3 linked regions of the Rhinolophus ferrumequinum genome follow. The main gene of each other region encodes a partner of the protein of the gene in region 2 in a complex. Links are inferred from orthologs where the notes say so. Each region holds a gene or a part of one and is shown on either strand. Other genes may lie near its edges. The genes, in order: POLR3E, POLR3C and POLR3G.

The links.
Region 1: POLR3C (region 2) and POLR3E share a complex: the UniProt entries of both Homo sapiens proteins name them as parts of the RNA polymerase III complex. The link is inferred for Rhinolophus ferrumequinum from reciprocal best matches to the Homo sapiens genes POLR3C and POLR3E.
Region 3: POLR3C (region 2) and POLR3G share a complex: the UniProt entries of both Homo sapiens proteins name them as parts of the RNA polymerase III complex. The link is inferred for Rhinolophus ferrumequinum from reciprocal best matches to the Homo sapiens genes POLR3C and POLR3G.

Annotation. Positions count from the first base shown.
Region 1 is NW_022680357.1:16,769,862-16,777,860, reverse strand, and holds the start of POLR3E (DNA-directed RNA polymerase III subunit RPC5), read right to left. Parts: upstream 3,320-7,999; 5' UTR 3,186-3,319; intron 1,886-3,185; 5' UTR 1,681-1,885; intron 1-1,680. UniProt on the Homo sapiens protein: DNA-dependent RNA polymerase catalyzes the transcription of DNA into RNA using the four ribonucleoside triphosphates as substrates.
Region 2 is NC_046305.1:50,081,103-50,088,597, reverse strand, and holds the start of POLR3C (DNA-directed RNA polymerase III subunit RPC3), read right to left. Parts: upstream 3,412-7,495; 5' UTR 3,260-3,411; intron 3,170-3,259; exon of another isoform or gene 2,994-3,169; intron 2,247-2,993; 5' UTR 2,227-2,246; coding exon 2,080-2,226; intron 1,593-2,079; coding exon 1,337-1,592; intron 1,228-1,336; coding exon 1,042-1,227; intron 1-1,041. Other genes in the region: E3 ubiquitin-protein ligase RNF115, read left to right, coding at 3,730-3,831. UniProt on the Homo sapiens protein: DNA-dependent RNA polymerase catalyzes the transcription of DNA into RNA using the four ribonucleoside triphosphates as substrates.
Region 3 is NC_046290.1:59,271,924-59,279,636, reverse strand, and holds the start of POLR3G (DNA-directed RNA polymerase III subunit RPC7), read right to left. Parts: upstream 3,162-7,713; 5' UTR 3,041-3,161; intron 1-3,040. Other genes in the region: acyl-coenzyme A thioesterase MBLAC2, read left to right, coding at 3,767-4,220. UniProt on the Homo sapiens protein: DNA-dependent RNA polymerase catalyzes the transcription of DNA into RNA using the four ribonucleoside triphosphates as substrates.

The sequences.
Region 1 (7,999 bases), on a different chromosome or scaffold from region 2:
AGGGAGAAGGGATCAGAGTCAGTGTACTGACGGGGGGGCCTGGAGGGTCCCAATCACAGGCTTTCCCGGCCATTGGTGGGCTCCGGTGACCTGTCCCGAGTCAGGGAGGATGAAGTCCCCTTGGGGCGGAGCTCCTCCCCGGACAGGACCCTGACTGGTCAGTGCTGGCGTTATCACCAACCTTCACCCTCCTACCCAACACCCCCCACTCGCTGGCTCGCAAGGTTTTCAGCCTAAGTAAGGCCCCAGTAAGAAACCATCTCACAGAAACGGCCCAGAACATACGTACAATTACGTCCCTACAACAAGGGCTCACAGCCGTAACTGTCCTACCATGTTTCCCCAAAAATAAGATCTACCCAGAAAAGAAGGCCTAGCATGATTTTTCAGGATGATGTCCCCTAAACACAAGCCCTAAAGCGTCTTTTGGAGCAGAAATTAATATCATGTTTCCCCGAAAACAAGACCTAGCCGGACAATCAGCTCTAATGCGTCTTTTGCAGCAAACATTAATGTAAGACATAAGAGCGGGTCTTATATTAGGTCTTCTTTTCGGGGAAACACAGTGCTCTAAGTGATACAGTGATGGTTTCTACCCTTGCTCATGAAAATGAAAAGTGCTGGTTAATGTCCCCCTAAGTTGATTTCTCATCCCACAATTTGAAATAAATCTTCACCCACAATTTGGAAAGTACTGCTCTAGCAAGTCTTCCTGTGGTCTCTCTTTCCTACCTCCAGTCCTTCCAGAAACAGTCAGAGTTGTCCTGATAAAAGGGTAAATCACATCGTCTCCCTGCTCAAAACCCGTCGGCTGTCACACAGACTAAAACCCAAATGCCCTCCCAAGGCCCTAGGGGATCTTGCCCCTGCCTCTCCCTCATCACCCACCTAGGCAGGTGGGCCTCCTGCTGGGCCTGCAAGCCCAGCCTGCCTCAGGACCTTTGCACATCACCTCTGCTCCCCGGGTCTTTTCAGGCTGGCTCCTTTTCATGATGTCACCACTACCCCCACCCACACACAGGTTTCCTGACCACCCCATCTTAAAGCATCTGCACCCCAATCCCCGCCCCAGTCACTACCACATCTCCCTGCTCTGTTCCCTTCATGGTTCTTCTCACCATTGGAGCTACCGCGTCTATTTGCATATGTATCAGTCTTCTGCACTAGACTGTGAGCTGCAGGAGGGCCTCTCCACGCTCCCACCGGAAAGTGGGGAGAGTCACACTTACTTCAAGTTGTCAGGGGGTCATTCTCTCTCTTGAAATTCACCGTTATTCCAACACCTAGAACAGGGCTTGGCATGAAGGGTGCTCAGTGAAGTTCAAACAACCGAGTAAACGAATGGATGGAAGCAGGCAGTCACAAAGCCTCAACCCAGTGGGCCTAACTCCGCCCCAAGCAGAGAGGGGTGGCCTCCTGGACCCTTGAGAACAGCCAGGGACTGGCCACCCAGCCACAAGCCAAGCACCCCCGCCAGACCCAACCACCTGGGCCTCCGCAGGGTGTCCTGTGGCCACAAGGGGACTCGGTGACAGAGGCTCTGTGGCCTTGGACACAAGATACTTCCCTCCGCAGAGAGCTGCTCAACAAATGGACACCAGATGGAGCTAAGAGGGGTCCAGAGCAGAGGTACCTGAAGGCCACAATGGGGGGCATCTGTGCTGCACCCAGGAGTCTAACCTGTCGGCCAATCAGAGAGCAGCGGCAACTCCAAAAGCTGGTGAGGGAGGGAGAGGTCTGCGAGGACAAAACACAAAGGACTTGAGGGGACAGGGCCCCAGGACGAACAGTCTCAAGGCCTGGCTTCTAACTCGCTGTAGGCCCCTTGGACAAGGCAGCTCCCCTCTGCGTCACCCGATTCCACCTGTGTCATGGCAGAGTTGGCCTAGGGGACGAGAAGAACTAATTAAGCCTAAAGGAGGGTCGGTCGGACCCTTGTCTAGAGAGGACTTGGCATACGTTCTCACTGAACCTCCTCCAGAGCCCCCTAAGTCAAGACTGGCCACGATCACGGAGAGAGGACACGGGGGCTGGGAGCGTAAGTAGCTTGCCAAGGTCACGACACGGGGGAATGAATGACAGCAGCAGCACAGAACCCCGGGTCGAGCTAATGGCCAAGATCCTTCTTCTCATTCCTAACTGCTGTGCTGCACCCCGGCTCACAGAAGCGAGCTTGGCCTGGTGGGTAAGAGCCCAGACTCCCAAGCTGCGCGGCACAGGTTCAAGCCCCACGCGTGCCGCTCGCCGCCCGCGGCCCACCCGGACTTTCACCCTTTTCATCCTCCACATGGTGACACGTCCCGGCCCCCAGAGGCCGGTGATGAGAGTTAACTACCGTAATCGATGTGACCTGGGGCGGCCTGTGACCAGCAGGCAACCTGTTTTCCTTCCACGTAAAAGGGTCTGGGACCCAACCGCACACCGCACGCTGCAGGCTGGGGCCCCCCCACCCCCCGTGTCACCGTCCTCAGCCTTCACCACAGTCCAGGGAGGGAGAAAAGTCCGAGCCTGTTTCACAGGTGACGAAGCCGGAGCGACTGCTCAGACCTCCGCTTTCTGCCCCATCCCGACGACGCCCGAGCCAACCGCCCCGTCGGTGTTTACTGGTTTAACCCACCCGCTCACACCACTGACACCGGCCCGGCGGACCCGTCAGGAACGAACGCCGAGCGGGGGCCAGGGCGGCGGACGCGGAACGCCCGGACCGGGCCGCTGGGGATCAGCGGCGACGCCCGCAGGCTGGTATCGGCCGCCCCCGGCCACGCGGGGCGGGCCGCAGCGCGGACCCGCACCGTCCAGTGGGTTTCGCCTCCCCCACGCGCGGTCAGGCCCCTTCCTCACGCCCCGCCCCCGCAGCCACCACCACCGGCCGCCACGCTGGCCGGACACGGGCCTCCTCAGGACAGGTGTCCCCGCCGGAGGCCCGCCTGGGCCGAGCGGGGCAAGACGGCTGGATCCTGAGTCACCGCCCGAGGCCGCGGCCTCCCGGACACCGGGCCGACGTCGGAGTGCGCGTCCGGCCTGGGTCTCCCGGCGCCGGCTGCCTGTCCCTCCCGCACGAGTGCGGGTGGCCACAGCCCCCGGGCACAGCGCGGGCCTCCCGGCCTACTCCGCAGCACAGCCCCGGCCCAGCTCGCGCGTGTGGCCCGGCTCAGGCCCGGCGAGCGCTGCCACCGCGAACTCACCTCTCCGCGGCGGCCACGCGCGGGCGGCGGCAACGGCCTAGGTCCCCGCGGGCTGCACAAGCGGCGGCGGCTGGGCTCTCTGCTCAGGCAGCGGCCATGTTGCCAGTGGAGAAACTCCAGCGGACACGTGGGAGGAGCACGCCCGGCCGCACGCTTCCTTTTACCCACAATGCCCCGCCCCGGCGCCGCGCGGGCCCGCCCCCTGCGTCGCTCCATTCACGCCGGCCGCTAGCTCCGCGGGCAGCAGGGGGCGCTGGTGCACCTGCAAAACAGAGCGGAGAAGAACGTGGCATGAAGGCCCCAGGGGCAAAAGGGTGATCCTGGCAGCGGTGGGATTCGAACCCACGCCCCCGAAGAGACTGGAGCCTTAATCCAGCGCCTTAGACCGCTCGGCCACGCTACCTGTGTGATGCCTCCTTTTTCCAGAGAGCTATTTAACATCTTTACAAGCGATTGTAACGCCACGTTACTAGTTTAATATGTGGTTTTTTTTGCTCGTGATGAAAGTATTTAGAATACATGTAGTTAAAAGAAAATATTTGCTCTGCTATTTAGGCCCAGACTTGTTCCTGATAGGTTTTAAAGTGCAAAGCAGTTTAAGAGCTTGTATTGAGTCGGGCGTTTAACCAGGAGAGTTTAGGTTAACCCACGCGACTCGGGTTAGGAATCTCAGGGAGAAATGATGGGTTCCGGCAGTAACCCGCACCAGGGGCTTCGAAGGCTACCCCAGGGGAGCTGGGCACAAATAATACGTGAATTATTGCAAGATATTAAAACCTCTGACCCCATCCTAAGATGTAACCTCCGCAGATGTAACCATTGTCATCAGCTTAGTATACAGCCTTTGTATTTTTTGCTGTGAATTTATTTGGATATATTCATACAGATATAGGTATCTGTAGAAAAGAGATGTTTTGTTTTTAGTGAACATGGGTTTTTACATAAATATTATCATACTATTGGTATTGATATGCACTGGATTTTTTTCACCCAACTGTATTTTTGAAACATCTATCCATGTTGATGTATACAGGTGTTTAAAAACACAGAAAAAGTACAAAGGAAAAAATAACCATCCATATTCCCACCCTCTTAATATTATGGTATTTCACTTCCAATTCTTACCCTTTGTATACACTTTTATTACGCAGGGAATGGTATGAATATGTTGTCCTTTTAAAAATCCATTAAAAATTATATTACACCATTAGAAATAAAAATAAAGCCCCCTCCCAAACATTCTGCCCTGTTGTAACTATTGTCATGAATTTGATGTGTATCCTTCCAATCCACTTCTGACACTTCCATGTCTATATAAATATTTGGGTGTGTGTGTGTCTGTCTGTGTGTGTGTATATACCCATGAACAATGTATAGTACAGTCTTCTATTATGTTTTTCATTTATGTAAACATTACTACTGTGTACCAGTATCATTCTGCAACTTGTTTTACTCCAACATTATGTTTTTTAGGTCTATTATGGCACATATAGATCTAATCTGTTCCATACTATGAATATGGTCATTTTAAGTTGTTTATATTGTTATATTCAAGTTTCTGGTTAATATCCAGTTGGCACACAAGTTAACATTTGTGCACACGACTTAACATTCCATATTTCTACTCTTCAAGTCTACTTTAACCTGGTTTTATTTCTCCATTTACTTTTAACATAAGTGTTGCTATGCAAAGATTTCATTGCTCTAGGAGAGTTTGTTGTTTTTAAAGGCATTTTTTTAAAAATACAGAAGTAGCCGTTTATTGGGGATACAGGCTGGGCATTGTGGGGGGTTTAAAGCTAAATGAGGGATCGTCCCTGAGATCAATCGAAGCACTGATTTAGTCATGAGGCTGTAGAGCCAGGAAGGACTGTATTTGTGAGTTGTGTGCTGGGTTTTCCAAACGGAAAAGTTCCCATAGTGCAGGATAAGGGGTCTCTGCGTAATGCCACTTTTCTAGGAATTGCCTGATCAGCCCAGAGAGTGGGTCCCTGGCACCCACCTTTGTGCCGTGCATCCCTGCCCCACACCCCGGTCAGTGGGTTCCATGGGAACAGGCAACTCAGGTTGGACCACACAGATTCTCTTTTGAGAATCTGAATTGGGACAGGGTGAGTTCCTGATTTGTTCATTTGACTGTTTTCAGAGTTGGAGTTAGTCTCTGAGACTGAGTGGGACTAGGGAGAAAGGTGTACGTGGGGTGGCCAGTCTGTGAGGTGGATCGGAGGAGAGAAACACCAGTGCGTGGGAAAAGACAGAACAACGAAATGAAAAGAGCAGAGTCATAGAGAAGTCCTGCTTTTCTGGCTTCCAGCTCAGGACCCTTCCCAGGACCCAGTGGGATTCACGTTCCCGGAGGCAACCCTGTATCGTTGTAATAAAGCCCTTTTCTGCTAAAGCTGGTGCTACCTGGTAGCTGTCAGTTGTAACCAATAAACCTCACCCTCACATGGTAAGGAATCAAATGATGCTAGAGATATTTCTGCCAGAGCATTCTGTAGCAATTCAGGTCTGTCCCTACAGTACATGCTGAATGGGATACTTAAGGGAGTTTCTTGCAGTCTGGCAGCCCCATCACACAGCTGTCTGGTGACCATCAGAGGTGGGATTGAAGTGGAATGTTGCATCAGAACTCCTGGACCCACAGGGTCCCAGGAGCTCTAGGTAAGGGGAGGGAGGGAAGGGCTGAACCCTGGACTATCCCTTGGTGCGTTTACTTCCCTGTCCCTGACTAATGGGGCAGGTGGAGGGGAGAAAGGCTAGCACCCCAGATCAAACACTGCCCACTTGTCCCCCTCTGCCAATCTAGGGGCTGTCAGATGAAGGGTGTCTGTGTCTGTCTCTGTATCGTAAGCCCTTAGCAGTGGTCAGTGACGAAGGCAAGGAGGCTCAGTCTGAACCCCCTCCACACTTCACTCCCTTGCACCTGTCCAAGGAAAATCATTGCAAACCTGGTCTGAGACCAAACCTTCTTGCCACATGAATCTTCTTCTGGAAAGAAATGAACATTCCTAATAAAAATGCTTAAGCATTTTTCTTATGAAATCACTAGTATTGAGATTTGTGCTGGGAAATGCGTTCTCTACCCACCCAGTTGACGGGTCATTTGTCAGTGACCTTAAACCAAACATTCTTTTCTTTTCCTTTAGATTGTTCTAATCTGTCACCTTCTGCTTCCTAGATCTCCTCCACACTTGCCCTGGTACCTCTGCTTCTGAGGTCTGATTCTTTCAGTTTTACCTTCCATTCTGTAGACCACTCCCTTCCCCCCAAATTGCTTCTTTGCTAAAGCTAACCAGCTTTGATTTCTGTTACCTGCAACCAAGAAATCGACGTGACCACCTAGGCCTCCCCCAAAGGAACTTTGTCCCTTTAGTTGTGAACAGAGCACTGATACCCTTACCACGGTGACCATGGCACTTTTTTTCTGAAACAAATGTTTAATTCACGGGCATGAATCAGAACTCCCTGGTAAACTGGGACATGCGTTCATCTTACACCTTGCCCACTCAAAGCTCCATCTGACAGACCTGAATGAGATTTCCTGTGTTGAGTCAGATCAAACTGCAGGTTCCATGACTGGTGGCACCCTTCCATCAATTCCTGGGAAGTTCAGCCTTGGAAATACTTCTGGTGTCTTGGGAAGATGCTGCTAGGTCATGGGAATCAAGCATCAGTCGGCACTGTTTATGTTGGGACTACGATGACATCTGATCTTTGAACCTCTTTCTTTCTTGATCAATCAAAACATTCCTGGCAAATGCTTTCCCCATATGACCCTTTTAAGCCTCCTTTTTTTCATCTGTGAAATGGTCACAATACTGAGGTTTGTCGCCGGGTTAGAGATAACTGTATATACCCAGCCCAATGTCTGACATACATCATTGTTTCTAAGACACGTTTTCACATTTTAATATGTCGAAAATTGACCTACATCTTATGATCAATGTCATATAGTTTATTTTCAGTGTTTTTCTTATTAATTCATCAAATAATGGTGCATCTTAAGATCAAGGGTGTCTCAGATTCAATCAAACAGTAGATGCTCAATATATTAATTACTATAATGAATTTTTAATTTAGCGAAATTAGTATTTTTAACTTAGTAAATATTTTAAGTTCTTTAATTTGATAACGTTATCAAAGTTGTACATGAGTCCACTATCCATCCTACAAGGCTTATTATCAAAATTAGCAGTATGCCTACCCCTCTAGCCCCAGGCAAGCACTTCCAACTTCTGGCAGATTCTTCTGGTATGATATTTCTCTCCATAGGTCTAAACAATATGCTTATATTCCTGCTTTTTTCCCCTATCAGTTTTAGGCATTCTCTGTTGACTTCCTACTAATGAGGACAAGAATTTAACTCTAGCCACCTCCACCACCACAAACACTCCCCTTACTCCAACACCCCTAACAGTCATACTGTAATTTCATTTGAGCCATAATTAGCAAATGCTATTCACTAAGCTTGAGCTTAACTATACCCGCAACTATAACCGTTCTTCCTTTTCTGGAGAATATTGTTTATTGTTCATAATTGCCTTCTTAAAAAAAAAAAAAGCTTACCTAGTTTCTATGAATTCATCCCTAATTCACCTTCTAATTGTGGACACACAGGCACATGAGGTAATGTATCGCTTCAGCTTCTTGAAGACACTTCTCCCAAAGCCTCCTGGCAGGGGCAGTCAGCTGGCGGTTCAGGGCAAGTTGGGATCACCCTTCCCCCTCATCCAGGGAACTGACGTGGCCTCACTCTTCTGGATGTCAAACATTTCTTGTTAGTCCCTCTTTGGGTGGAGCAAATCCTCCAG
Region 2 (7,495 bases):
TCCGAGGATGACAGGAAATGACCAAACATGAGAGCCGGTGTCTCTCCATCCCGAGGACATCTGTAGCTGGCTCTAGGTGTGAGTTGCTGAGGCGGAGTAGCTAAAAGAGAGTCAAGTAAAGGATGAAGTCATCTGAAACGCTACATGCTCTAAAAGAAATTCATACTCTTTTTCCCTCAAACTGTTCCTGCTCCAGTGTTTCCTTTCACAGTGAGTGGTACCATCATCCTGCCACGTGTCCAAGTCAGACACACTGACGTCGTTCTTGATACCTCTGTCTCCCTCACCCCTTCTAGATCTAATTTTTCACTGGTTTGTCTAGATTTACCTTTGCCCTATCCTTTCTGCATACAGAATGCAAATTAGATTATGTCACTTCCCCACTTAAAATCCTTTCATGGTTTTCCTCTGCTCTTAGGATAAAGAACAGATAGTCTATGAGGTCTTGCATGTCTAACCCCTGCCTATATCTCTAACCTTATCTCACGGTTCGCTTTCCTTTGTTCACCATGCGTTAATTAACTTACCTGCTTTTGCTTCCTCAAATACCCTATTCTTTTCTCAGTATACTGTTCCTTTTGCCAAAAATGTTTATCTTCTGTACCCCTTCATACCTTACCTCACTGGTTGGCTTCTACTTCCTGCTTCAAATCTGAGCTTAAATGCCACTTTTTCAAAGGAGCATGTGCCCCAAGTCCCGAAGTAAGTCCAGTCCCCTGTTATATATTTGCATAACACTTCATGCTTTTCCTTCACAGTATTTATCACAGTTTGTTAGTTATGCATCTATATGGTTATTTGATTAATGTAAGTTGCATACAGTAGACTTACGCCCTGAAAGGGTAGGGACCCTGATGGTTTTTCATCATTTTAGACCAAAGTATCTGGCACAGAGTAATTGCTCGATTCATTTAGTCACTCACTCATTCAACAATCACTAAGAAAGTATTTGCTCGATTCCTTCATTCATTCATTTAACAATCATTGAGAAAGAATCTACAATTAAGGCAAGTCACAAGTCCAGGGGTTCAAATTCCTTACCTATCAAGCTCAGTTTAGGAACCAGGTACATGTCCTTTTCATTGATGACAAGAGTGGGGGCAGGTGGTGGTGGCCCAGCGTCTGAATTCTCAGCGGCAGGCACCAAAGGGCAACGCTGTACAAAATGTGTGTCTGCTAGTCGCACAAATGTGTTTGCTACCTCAGCGTAGTCCATGGTCTTGCCGTCTGTACAACAGGAGGAAGAAGCAGGTGAGAGGGCTGAAGATAGCTGAGGGTCCGCTCCTGCAGCCAGCTAATGTATGCTTTTGCTAACAGCTATGGATACAGTACTAACCCTCCATAGTCTCTGTGAGCCGGTCTGCCACTTTCTTCACGACAGCTGACATTGTCATTTTGCCATTCAGCAGCAGCTCCTCAACAATCAGCTCTCCAGTGTCATTATACAGTGTTTTGGCAGTATAGATATAGCGGGGGTACCTGAGGATTCTCAACACCCGGCTGCACTGGGCTTCATACTCCACTACACCGCGTTTATGTACTTGATATATCACCAGGTTATGTTGGATGAGGACACAAAGGGCTTTTTTTACCTAGATAAGACCCAAAAGAAAGAGGGAAAAGATCTGGAGACAGCTCGTTATTGTTGGCAATTTTTGTTCAACAGTGTACTAAGCATCAGGAGAGGACCAGATAATTTCTGCGCTTTCTTCCCTCCGTTGGAATAGCTAATAAAAATCACATGTCAATGGAAGAAACCAGGAAGATTCCTTGTTGTGATGCTCATACTTTGATCTGTATCGTTCAAAGGACAATTAATTTCTCCTCTATTATTCTCATTCCTTAAAAGCATTACTGAGATTAATAGGCTCAACGTCAGTAAATGAGATATGGCAAAGGAAGAGCAAAGATTTGCCTAAGAGCCACGAGGAGCCAGGATCCTTTGCCCCCAAATAACACTGGTCTGATCCGAGAGCAGGATTTCCCCCTTTCCATTTCGTGAGGTAGGGAGTAACAATATTCAAAGGTAGGTAACAGAAATTAATGAAATGAAAGCAAATTAATATCATCCAAACATACCTGATCCAGGGATGTTCCTGTGTCATGGGCAATTACTCTTAGTGGCTGGCTGCCAGTTCTGATGAGGTGGACTCCAATTTTTTCCACAATCTCTCCAAAATGCTCTTGCAACAACAAAGAGCACAGTTTAATTTCTGCTTGAGTCATTGTACTGAGGGGACTCGGAGCTAGGAAGAAATAAAAAAGACTATATGATGGGAAGTTTTTATGTTGGGAGTAGAGCTGCTGAGTATAAATTCATGGACTTTCTGGAGGGCAATCTGACATTACATATCAAAAGCCTTTGACCTAATAACTTTGTTTTGGATACTCTGCTCTAAGGAAATCATAAAAGGATATCACTGTAGTTCTCTTTAGAATACTGCTATACTGGAAACAACCTAATGATTAACAATAAGAAATCAATTCAATAAATTATGGTATACCCACACAATGGAATACTACTTCAACATTTAAAATGATGTATAATATATACTAGCGTCGAAAATTGTTCATTAAGTGAAAGAAGCAGACTACAACCCAAAATATAGAGAAATATTCAATAATAAAAAGTCATGTATGCATATCAAGACTGGAAGACTATACATCACATTGATCTTTATGGGATTGTGTGTAATTCTAATTTTCTTTAAAGATAGGATTAGATGGTTTTGCAATGTCACAGACTTTATTTAGATTCTATACTTCGTTGTTTGGAAGAATTAAGACCACAGCCCATTGGGAGTGAACAGGCAGTGTCATTCCCAGTCTATAAAGGAAATGACAACTTAGAAGAGATTAAGAGGTAAAGGAGAGCTTCGCAACACGGTGTTTCAAATAGGAAATGGGGTATGTTGTCTTCAGGGCCATAGTCTGAAATTTCTACTTCTTGACAAAGTAGATACAGAAATAGACGTAGTTGACTATATAATTACTTTCTTATTATCCCAAGTGCTACCAAACATTAGTGCGTTCATTTATTTCTCCCAATTCCTCAGAAGCAAGTCTTTGCCTCTCGGCCTCAGTATCCCCGTCCACACGTCTCTGCGGAAGCATCCCCACACCCTTTGCCATCCTCGCAAAGGATTTGCAAGGATCTTGGCTCCTGGCTCTTTACTCCCTTCACGCAGGTTCCCGTTCGGGGCTTGGTGCCTCGGTCCAGAGAGCCGGCCGCCTCGTTCAGGCAGCATTTTCCACTAACCTCTGGGTCAAGGCAATCTAACGCCGCCGAGTTCCCTGCGGCGACTTCGCGCGGCTCCCGCTACCGCTATGGCAGGGGGAGCCCTCGGCCCTTTCTCGCAGGAGGACCGGCACCGCGGAGGACCCGGAAAGGGGTAAAACCTGGGCCGCTCTACCCCAGAGTCTCAGTGGTTTCTGGAGACGCTCTTTCTCTCTTCTCGCTGGTAGGTTGGAGGACAGGCGAAAGGCTGTCGGAGGAGCCGGCGGGCGGACTCTCCTTCCTGTGCCTCTTTAGTGCTGGAGGCGGGCCTTGGGGTCGCAGTCCGCGCCGACGCCCCGCCGCCTCACGTGACTGACCTGGGCGCTGGAGCTGCCGGCCAGAGTGAGGAAGCGGCGACCGAGGCGGCAGCGGAATCGACTGCACCCGGGAGGTAGCGGCCTGGCGAGGGACGGGCCGGCTGCCCTCTCGGACCGCCGCGGCGGAAGAGAAAAATGGCGGAGGCCTCGGCGGCCGGGGCGGGCTCAGGCGCCACCGTCGCCGCGCATCGGTTTTTCTGCCACTTCTGCAAGGGCGAGGTCAGCCCCAAACTACCGGTAAGAGCCCAGTGTCCCCTGCGTTTGGCGTTGGCGTGGATTCCTCGCCCCGGAGTCCCGGAATGGGTCTTCAGCTCCCCTCTACACCCTTGAAATCGGTCTCCCAGATGCTGCTGCCCACTGTCTCTGGTCGCTGACCCCAGACCCCGGGCGTCCCGATCCTGGCTGCTCCTGAACTCCCGCCCCGCCTTTTATCCCCCCTCGGACGCTCCACCTGCCCCTCACGCCCTCTCCTTTCTTGACCTGCCCCCCTCCACCTTTTTTCTTCCTTAGCAAGTCCTCTCCCCTGACAACTCGCCTTACTTTCCTTGCACTCTTCCTCACCTTGTGTCCTTCCCACAGTGACCTCGCCCCTGTCGAGACTCTTTCTGCTGCTGCAGCTTCTCGCCTTCCTCTGTTTCCTTTTCCCCTTTGCCTCCCCCCACACCCTACCCTTAATGAAGCCAAATAGCGGATCGATGAGGATGGCCTCTATTCGGTTGTCTCTAGGGAATGAAGCACGGGAAGAAGAGGGTTGGAAGGTAACTGGGGCGGAGGGGGATTTCGCTCTTCAGTGGTTTCCAGCGTTGTTGTGAAAGTGAAAACAGCAGTGTACTAACGACTCGCAGACTGTCCTCCCTCTCACTATTGAAGGAAATGGCTTTAGGAAGAAGGCAGGACATGTTGTTTCAACTTGGGTATTGTCGTTGTTGGCCTGCCAGGGTCTTGAGCACCACCCACCTGCCCCGCCCCTGTCCCATTCTGTCTCTTCGTGAAAAGATCCAGGACAGAATGCTGGGGACCGCGTCCTCTGACATAAATTGGTTTTCACCCGTTTCTGCCAGACGGTCAGTGCGTCCCTAGAGCGGTAGTGAAGACAGCGCTTCTGCAGCGTGCTGGCCAACCCCAGAAGCTGTTTGGGTTGGGTCCTAGTTTCTTCAGGGAGACACACCTGGGTGAATAGTAATCTCTTGGCCACCCATCTTTGGAATTAGTTAGGGTTCTTTTCCTTGGAAGTATCCAGGTTCAGTCTTAAGCCAGGGTGTCTCCCTAACAACTTAATTCTATAGTGTCTCTGATACAACCTATGAGAAAGCCTACTGAATTAAAGTATGTCTGTGTCTTATTTCTTGGACACACGAATGGAGTCCTGTGAATAAGCTCCTAAAGGGATTTTAACCTTTTCACCTAAAAGTTGTACTTTTTTTTTTTTAAAGGCTTTTATGGCATTTTCTTTCCTTTCTGTTTGCCCCAACTTCATAGATTCATCTTGTGAAACACAAAATTTGAACTTCATTGGCCTAGGTCTCAAGTCTTTGTAATGGAAAGGGTTTATTAGGCTATTGCCAGGCAAAAGAAAAGACTGTCTTGGGGCATCGAGTCTAAACCACCAGCTTGGTAGGAAAGAAGACATGTCCATCACCTGCGGAGTTTGCAAGTGTTTTTTGTTTTGTTTTTGTACATCAGGTAGCAGGAAGGGGGAAGAAAGGTGTAAACTGTCTGAGAGAATTTACATTCCATTAGCTATAGGCAAGGGGTGGGAAGTGGGGCCAGCTCTGGGATAGGCTCAGAGTCCACAAGAAGAAATGTCCCCTCCTGTGGATTGGCTGTGGGCAGCAGTCCGGAAAGCCCACGTGTAAACAAGAAGCGGAGGCTCCTGGAGGTCAGTGGTGCTTGGCTGGAATAATCTGCGGAAATAGCCACCTGGAAATTAATCCGAAATTCCTTCAGGCAATGGAAGGAATGTGAGCAATCTTTTGTCAGAGCTGGTCCACAGCTATTAACAGGCTAACTGTTCTGTCTGTCACTCTGGCCTCTGTAATTTTAATTTAAAACATCGCAGAATTTTCTTCTTGTCAGTGTACTTGTTACTTAGTTTGCTTGCGGATTTGTGTGTGCATGCACCTGTGCTTTGTGCCATGTTTCAGTGCGGGGAAGAGCAGGTGCCTTGTTTTTTTCCCAGGGGACATCAGAGCCCCCAGAAATCTCGCTGTCAACAAAGATGGAGCCTGGGATTTGTCCAGTATGTGTGTGACCAGTGACATGTTGAATGTGATGCTTTGTTGAACATCGTGACCTTAGTTCTTTCTTCTGGTCTTTTTAATCGTTGTTTACTTATTTGCCTTTAAGAGCTAGAAAACAGTCTAATTTTCCGCAACTTTTTTTATTTTTTAAAATCACCTGAAGGCCTCACTGTAAAGTGCTCTTGAAAAGTGATAATTTGAAAGACGGCAGGTGTTTTTCTAAATCTTAGTTTGATGCCCAGAGGTGAAGTTATTGATCTTTTTAGTCTGATTTATTATCTCTGATGCCAGGTTTGTAAATTGAGGCCTAACACAATTGAATTTAACAGGACTACTTCTGCATACCACAAGGTTCTAGGTTCTCTGCTAGATGTCCTCAAGGCAGTACCTAGGACTATGTGTGGTTCCTGCCCTTAGGGACCTCAAAAAGACAAGACTAACTGGAATAGTTAACAATAGTAGGTGAATGGGGATAGATAAGAAGTGCTTTAGAATTCATTCCTGCCCTTAGGGACCTCAGAAAGACTAGACAAACTGGAATAGTTAACAATATAAGGTGAATGGGGATAGGTAAGAAGTGCTTTAGAATTCAGAGGGAGGGAGATCCCGGATGATAGCATTGGCGAGGCCAAAGAAAGAGTGAGAGATGGGTTTTAAATTGAGTTCTGCAGGCTAGGTAGAATTCCGATTGCGGAGAATAGCATAGACTAAGGGAGGAAAGGAAGAGTGAGTTGAGGGAGAAGAGAGAAACATTTAGGAAGTCACTGTTACACATTTTTAAGAAAAGGTGCAGTGATGTCAGAGGTAGAGTTTTGATGCGCAGATCAGCCAGTGAGCTTCATCTTGTTTCATGACCGTTTCTATCTCCTGAACCCAGACTGTCATCTGGAAAATGTTGGTTGGAAGAATGACAGGTCAGTAAGTGGCTGATTCAGTACGAATCTGTCTCTGTTGCTAGCTAAACGCTAACTCAAACACTGTTAAGTCAGTAGTATGACTGTTCATATGTATAGGACACGCTGAAAAGATTTTTAAAATAATTTTTTGTATAAACTTGAGATTCCCTCGCTGTAAGGACTCAGCATATATTAGGCATGCATTGTTTCTTCAGTTGGATGAAAGTTTCGGGAAATCTGCATGTCTTTTTGAAGAGAGCTAGACCCAACTTAACACGAATAAAGTTTTTCTTTGTCTTGACTTATTTTGCATTTCAAGGGGGTACTTTTGTGCAAGTTGGATCACGGGAACCATCACCCATGAGTGCTGTCCTCTGAACACCTGAGGCTGAGTACTGAGTTTTACATCAGCTTTTAATGAGCTGTAGCTTCGTAGGTAAGTTTCTTCTCCCAATCAGTGGGAAAGACTGCGTCACAGCCATCTCACGTCTTGCCCGTTTATTCACTGCATAGCAGAGTCATAATTGTGTTAGTGGGACTAGGCTGCGAGGTTTTGACAACTTTTACTTTTCCCTTCTGCAGTCTCTAGGATACAGCTCTTCTTGATACATTTGGAAGTGTGTGTAGGCAATAGCAATAGCTTACCTAACGTTTGCCCTGAAACTACCTTAGGTTTTTATCATTTTTCTTGTCAGTTCTACTCTATATTAGTGTCTATGTTAGAAGAAATAGTTTTGGCTATAACTTCAGGGAGAAATTGGAATA
Region 3 (7,713 bases), on a different chromosome or scaffold from region 2:
CAGGTCACTGCCCTCAGATCTTACATTCCAGTGGATGAAAGAACACACACAAATAAACCAATAAGTCTGTAACATAATATTATGTGCTCTTGTTGTGAGTTGCATTGTGCCCCTTCAAAAATATGTCAAAGTCCTAACTGCCAATAGCTGTATGTGACCTTCCTTATTTGGAAAAAGTCTTTGCATAAGTAATCGAATTAAGATGGAGTCATAGTGGATTAAGATGAGCCCTCTTCCAATCACTGGTATCCTTATAAAAGGGAAATCTGAATAGAAAGAGAGAAACACACAGTGAAAACACCATGTGAAGATGGAGGCAGAGATTAGAGTGCTGCAGCTGCAAGCCTGGAACACCAAAGAGTGCCAGGAACCACCAAAAGCTAGGAGAGAAGTATAGAACAGCATCTCCCACAGAGCCTCCAAAAGGAACACACCTGCTGACATCTTGATTTCAGACTTCTGGCTTCTAGAAGCGTAAGAATTAATTTCTGTTGTTTTAAGCCATCCGATTTGTGGTAACATGTTAGGGCAGCTCTAGGAAATCAATACAGCTATGGAAAGAAAACAAATCATGGTAAAGGGATAACAAAGGAGTATGGTAGTGGCTTTTGCATAAAAGAAAGGTCTTTTTGTGGAGGATAAATCTGAGCACTGTGCTGGAGTAAGCCTGGGAGCCGTAAGATGGATGGATGGGGTGGAGATGATTACAGAGAGAAGCAACAGCAAGTGCAGAGGAGGAAGCCACAGCTCTGGGAGTGTCTGAAGAACAAGAAGCCCATGTAGCTGGTGAGGAGTGGGGAGAGGCTGGTCAAGGTCAGAGCTTGTGGAGCCCTGTGGGAGCTGTGGTAAAGGGTTTGGCTTTTATCTTACTTATGATGGGAACTGCACTCACGGAGATTCAGAAATGCAAAGGTCACAATGGTCCTCATGGCAAAATCCACTGGCCTTTTGTCCTCATTCATGTTCTTGGACTTCTGAACTGCACATCTGATTACTGCCTTCTCTCTTTTGAAACTCTCTTTCCTAGGCTTTAATAAAACTCCAGTTCTCCTACCCCAATGAACACTTTTTTTGGTCTACTTCTCTTCTTAAACCCCCTAAGTATGGATATCCTTAAAGTCCGATCTTTGGTCTCCTGCTCTTCAGAAATGCACCCACTCTTGGGGTTTGATGACCTCTCCCTCTCCATTACCTCCAGCAATGACCTTTATCCAGAGTTTCAGCACATGCTCTTACTATCAGAAAAATATTTGGACAGTACCTTAAACTTAAAATATTGAGTTCATCTTCCCCCTACACTAACTAGCTTACCTTTCATATATAAGGTCCCTATTTCTACCCATGGTATGTTATTTTCCCAGACACCAACATGTGAACATTTGGAGTGACTCAGTACCGATTTCTCATTCTGTTCCACCCCTACTATCAAATCCATCATCTAATTCTTCCTTCAAAATGTCCCTTCCTTTCTATTTCTTCTACCATAATCCAGCTTAGCTCTTTCCCACCTCACTTTGATTAACTGCAAATTTTGTAATATCCCTTGTTCTTCCTGTTTGTTTTAATTTATTCTTCCAAAATATTCATCCTAAAGCATAATTCTGATTATATATTATTCTCCCTATTTTGCCTCTAGGCTAGAGAATTAAATCCAAACTCCCTATCCAAATATTCAGAGCCCTTTTAAGATGGCTGCACCTATCCTCCTGACTCATTCTTCTGTAATCATGTCCTGACCATGATTCTCTCCACTGCACCTACTCCCCTTCTGCCCTGCCTGGCTGCGCCCCTTTTTTAACCTTATAGATGCAGTTTAAGTTGCTCAACATCAGCAAGAGTCATTTCATCCCTCCTTGCTCTTGGTAAGATCCTCCTGTTAAAATAAATGGATTCTTAAAACTCCAGGTGATATGTATTACTACACTCATCAATTCTGGAACACAGGTATTCCCCTTTTGGGAAATAGGCCTTTTCCAAAAGGAAGAAGTTTCACTCGTTTGTCTCTTTCTTCGACTGTATTAATAGAAATTTTATATCCCCCACTGTCTTCCCTCAAATTCTTGAGAACCCAGATTATGATCTTTTTACACAATTCTGTTCTTTACACATCTAGCTCTAGGACTTGCACTAAGGGTAGCCCTGAACAGAGTGACTGGAAAAAGTCTAAGTTAGGAATATATTCAGAAAGGCTGCGTCCCCACCAAAAACTTTAGGAGCTTAGGGGAGGAGAGTACACATCTCCTTGTATGAAGGCTTACTAGTAAGCTGCCACAATAAGGGTTTTTCATAATTCTTTTATAATGCTGTCTCATGAGTCTATAAAATTTTTCCTGGCTGAGTAGGGAGGTTAGTCAAGTTCTCAAGGGGATTTCTGCAGCCTAAATGGTATTTCAATAGTTGAGAGGTGCGGAGTGGAGAAAGGGGCCTGGCTTTAATACTGAGGGTGATTTATGTGGCTGGCGGGCCACACCCAGTTATTATTCACTTTTTTTTTATTTTCACAAGGTGTGGCTGCCTCCACTTTTCTTAGTTGAGCCTATCAACTCTCTTTGCTCTCTTCCAAGAGCGGATAAACTTAAAAAAGGAGGGTGGAGAAAGAATATAGAATTTAATTTTTCAGAAGAGGAAAAAAACTTCATTGACAACCCCACTCTCCATGATACAGGATAAAGTGCCAACAATTACGAAAACATACAGAATAGTCTGTCCTTAGCTGCAAGCCTGCGGCAATGATTCATGCCTGAACCAATCGTATAGTCACCGGATTTGAAAATCTACCATCAATCAGTAAGAGCACTAATTCCTTTCTAACTCACTGCAAACAGTCCCAGGAAGTGGCGACTAGGTAAGATATGGAAACGATGATTTTAAAAGATTTTGAAGGGATTGGAAGGGGAGGTAAAGCTATCTCTCAACGCACCTCAACCGAGAAGCGCGTCAATGAATTTCCACCCGACTTCCCCCACCTTTCCATGTGCCCCTTTAATTCCCCTCTACCCTCTCCATCTCCTTCCCAGCCCTCAATTGCTTCCTCTGTTACCTGCTCACTAAGTCTCGGAGGCTTGGGCAAAACTGTGCAGCCGAAGCGCCGGCCGGCAAGGAAGGGGTGCGGACAGAACGCGCCGGCGCCCGGCGCAGTTTCCACCTCTGGAGAAGCGCGCTCCGCCCTCCCCGAGGCCTCGGAGCCCAATTCGGAACCCAACCAGTTAGCCCCGCCCACTTCCTAGCTAGGCCCCGCCCGCTGGGCGAAGAGCTTTTTATCCCTTGGCAGGCGCCGTAGCTGTCCAACCCGCAAGGTCTGACTCTGCGCGGGCTGGAAGTGCGCATAGCGGCGCACGGTGGGTGGGCGGATCTGGTGCCTTCTACGACTAGCTCCCGGCCTCTGCAGTTAGACGCCCCCAGGTTGGGGAAGGGTCGCCTTGTAGGTCTCCAGTGGTCCAAGCGTTAACGCCTTCCTGTGCTGCGGCTACAGAGGCTGCGATTCCTCCAGCGCCCGGGGGCGGGCAGAACAACCTCTGCTTTCTGCGGACCTGTCGTGGGAGTAAAGCGACCACGACAGGCAGTGTCTAGGTGCCTCCTTCCTCCTAATTCTACACCCCGCATCCCCCGCACCCCCTGCACCACCCGCATCCCCCTCCCCCTCCTTGCTCTGCGCCACCTCCCTGGCTGCCGGCAGACCGCTCCACGCCGCCGCAGCGCCCGGAGTCTGGACAGCCTGCGGGAGGCACACACGCCCACACTCACCCCTCCTGCACCTCTTCCCAGCATGTCGGCGCTCGAGTGGTACGCCCACAAGTCCCTGGGCGACGGCATCTTCTGGATTCAGGAACGCTTCTATGAGTCTGGCAACCGTGCCAACATCTGGCTGGTGCGCGGCTCCGAGCAGGACGTGGTGATCGACACGGGCCTGGGGCTGCGCAGCCTTCCGGAATACCTGTACTCCTCCGGCCTCTTGCAGGACGGCGGGGCCAAGGAGGACGCGGCGTGCCGGCCGCTGCTGGCGGTGGCCACCCACGTGCACTTCGACCACTCCGGTGGTCTCTACCAGTTCGACCGGGTGGCCGTGCACCACGCCGAGGCCGAGGCACTGGCTCGCGGGGACAACTTTGAGACCGTGACCTGGTTGTCCGATAGTGAGGTGGTACGGGCGCCCAGCCCCGGCTGGAGGGCCAGGCAATTCCGAGTGCAGGCGGTACAGCCCACCCTCATCCTGCAGGATGGTAATGGGCCCTCACGGGCGCGCGCTCTCTCATTACGGGAGGGGGTTGGGAAGAAACTGTCCGAGGGATGCATGTTGCAGATGTGCGTGGCTGTGAGGGGGCTTGTTTTGCTACATTTCAGAAACACCACTTTTGTTTCTACCTGCACTGACACTCGACCAGAGCCAAGGCCATCGCAGCCTTCCCTACCTGAGACTAGCTCTGGCACGGTGTAGCAAAGCTGAGTACTCGAATGAAAGCCGGCCCCACCCCCTTGTCCGTTTCCTCTGCGAGGTGTAGTAGTAACGCCGCAGAGACTCGTGACTAGGAATTTCCCGTTCTTTTCCCGTACACCTGTCAGACATTTCCAGGCGCTTTTCTAGAGAGAAGACTTTTAAGGAATGACGCCTCAAGGAGAGTGCATGTCATGCTCTCTGCTTTTGCGAATTGCTGACTTCATCTGCTCAGTGACCGCCGGCTATGAGCAATTCCCACCTGTAGGTTTAGAAAGCCATTAGAGAACAGTGGTTGCCATCTGCTCTTGCATCTTTATCTTCCAGATAGATTTCTGTTCTTGATGTTGCCTCACCAGAGAAAGAGCCAGGTAGGGTACATAAAAAGTAGAATATGTCTGAGTCTTACATTTTGATAGATATCTGGTCTGGTTGAAAGCAAGGCCTGGGAAAGATTAACACGGAGATTATTGCAGGTGATGGTTAAGTATGTGGACTAATGCATCGGTAGCCCTGGGCTTCTTAGACCCCATGTAACATAGAATAGGGTTCAGAGAGAAACTAATGGAACAAAATACGAGTAGGGCCCCTGTCCTCCGAACACTATGCAGGCACTTAAATAATTCAGCTAATTGGACAGAGAAGCAATATTTGTATATTAATTTCCTTTTTTCTTTTTAGAATACTTTCGTTGATTTCATTTTATTCTCTCAATATTTGAAGTGAGGTGGTTAATAATGACAAAAGCTAAGATTTGAACCAAGGCACAATATGTCAAAGCATGCAGATCATACAAAAATCCTACTGCATAACTATATTATGGTAATTCCAAGTAGGATGTGAAACCCCCTTTTCCCACTCTATCTTGAAACCATTTTAATTGCCAATTTAATTTATTAAAATATTCTTCGAAGAGGTAGCAAAATCCAGCTACTGCTATGTAATACTCTCACTTTATGACCAACCAATATGACAAATAATGAAATATTTTACGAAAATCAGTTTATCTTACAGGTGAGATTCTGATCACTTGAGATATAAAAAATATAAAGCAAGATTCTATATCTCACACCCTATCCAAAGTCTTTCCATTTAAAATTTAAATCTAAGGGTTAAAAAAAAACTGGTTGAGAGGGGAATCTTATATTACCTAACAATTTGAGAGGAAAAAAGTACATTTACATTAAATATACTTTTAATTACTGTATATCTTGATAGAACTGATACTTTTAGAGGTAAGATTTCCATGTAGTTGACGGGTATTCAGAATAAATATTTTCTGTCATTCCACAAGAAATGTTTACATTATTATTTAAAATATATTTAAATTGTCTACACGAATAAATTACTTTTTGGTTTATTTACTTTTTCTCTCTGCCAGCAATAGGAAATCAATGGTGAAACAGTGATAGGAATTGATGTTTCCTAGATGAACAGTCTAAGCAGGCCTCAATATCATACCTGAGATTACACTGCCACTTTGGGAAAGAGCTGGGAATAGAATCCAGGTTTCCAAAATCCAAGTTGCTGCTAGAATTATAGCCTTATAATTATAATTAAAGCATTTTGGAGCTGCAAGGGGCCTGCAAGCTACCTGTTTGGTGCTTTAAGCCTTTGAAGGTATGAAAAGAAAGCTTAATATTTACCAGACACTTTGAAGGTGATAATACTGTGTTAAATCAAAAGTTGTTTTTCACTGGGAACTGGATGCCTCACTCTGTCAAGGAGTATCTAATTTCCACTTTTCTCGAGAATATTAATTTTCTTATCATCTCTTCTGAATGGTGTGGTCTACTAACTTGCTATCATCATAATCCTGATGCCTGGAAGGAGATATAAGATATTTATATTAAAATTCATACACAGTCACACACACACACATCAGCAGCACATACCGAACAGCGTAGAAGCTTCATTGCTTTGGTTAGAACATGGAGGTTGAAGTCATTAAATTTCATTTAGGTGAATTGATGATTACCTGTGTTAGAGAAGCATAAATATATGCACTGTAACCCAAAAGATGACTTGTAAATGAGGGACAAAGAGGACAAGGAGAAATCATCACCCAATGCATCATCTTTGATGGAAAACAACTTGTCCTACTACCTGTGAAATAGTATCTTCCTCTAAGAAGATTGTGATAAACCTTAGATTGATAGAGCACATTCTTCTTGAATGGGCACACATTTTGCCTATTTTCACAATATTCAAGTGATATGAATGAAGTGCAGGCATTTTGGCTCCTATTAGGCATGTTTAAACAGTTTGCCCAGTGTCACCAATAGGATAAAGCAGTTGTTTCAGGTGGACTTGAATCATTTGGGGACATTAAAAAAAAAAAAAAAATAGATTCCAGAAAGGTAGCAAAATGAGCAAATATATCTAATTTGACTCCCTTCCAAAACCCCATTAAGACTACTGTAAAGGGACCGTGGTTTGTTCATTTTAAGTATAAATCCACATTGACTGACGAACTCTTTGGGATGCTGGGCAGGTGACAACTGAGTTAGCAGTTTTATCCTATTCCAGCAATGGGAAATCAAGAGCCAATCCAGTTTGCACTGCAGGAGCCTTAAAAGGAATTAGCAGTAGCAGGTACTTTAGTGGGGGCAAAGGGAATAGTACTACTAAAATAAGTAGTATGGGTTGAAAGCATTTAAGAAACTATTTAAACTCTAGAACCCTTCTTCCTAAGTTTATGACCATCCAGTTAGTTTGTTCTCTGGAGAATGTAAAACAGGTTTCTTGATTGAGAGATGCCAAGTGCTGTTGAGCTCAGGTCTTCAGAATGGAAAATAGGAGGAATAAGCGTGTGTATGTGTATTTTCAAAATGGAAAATAGGAGAAATAAGGAGGAATAAGTTGAGAGTATACAGAAGGTGCCAAAAAAATGTATACACATTTTAGGAAAGGAAAACTATTAAAATTGTAATACTCAATATATACCGATAACAAAAGATGAATACAAGTCACTTTGATTTCTGCAATTATAAGAGGTGCTCAAAGAGGTTACCATCAGCGTCCAGACACTTCTGGTTACGGCGAACTACTGTTTGAGCAACGTTGACCAAAGTGTCCACATGTATACATTTTTTTTTTGCATCCCCCGGTATACATATGTATATATTTCCTACTAGTTTCCTAGACAATGAGAGCCAGGCCTTTACCCCCCAAATAGGAAATTGGAAGAATCTTATCTGGGATATCTGCCCAGCCATATAGGAAAGACTAAGATGCTGATCCCTAAGTAATCCTTGGCTTGATATCTCTACAGTGAATCT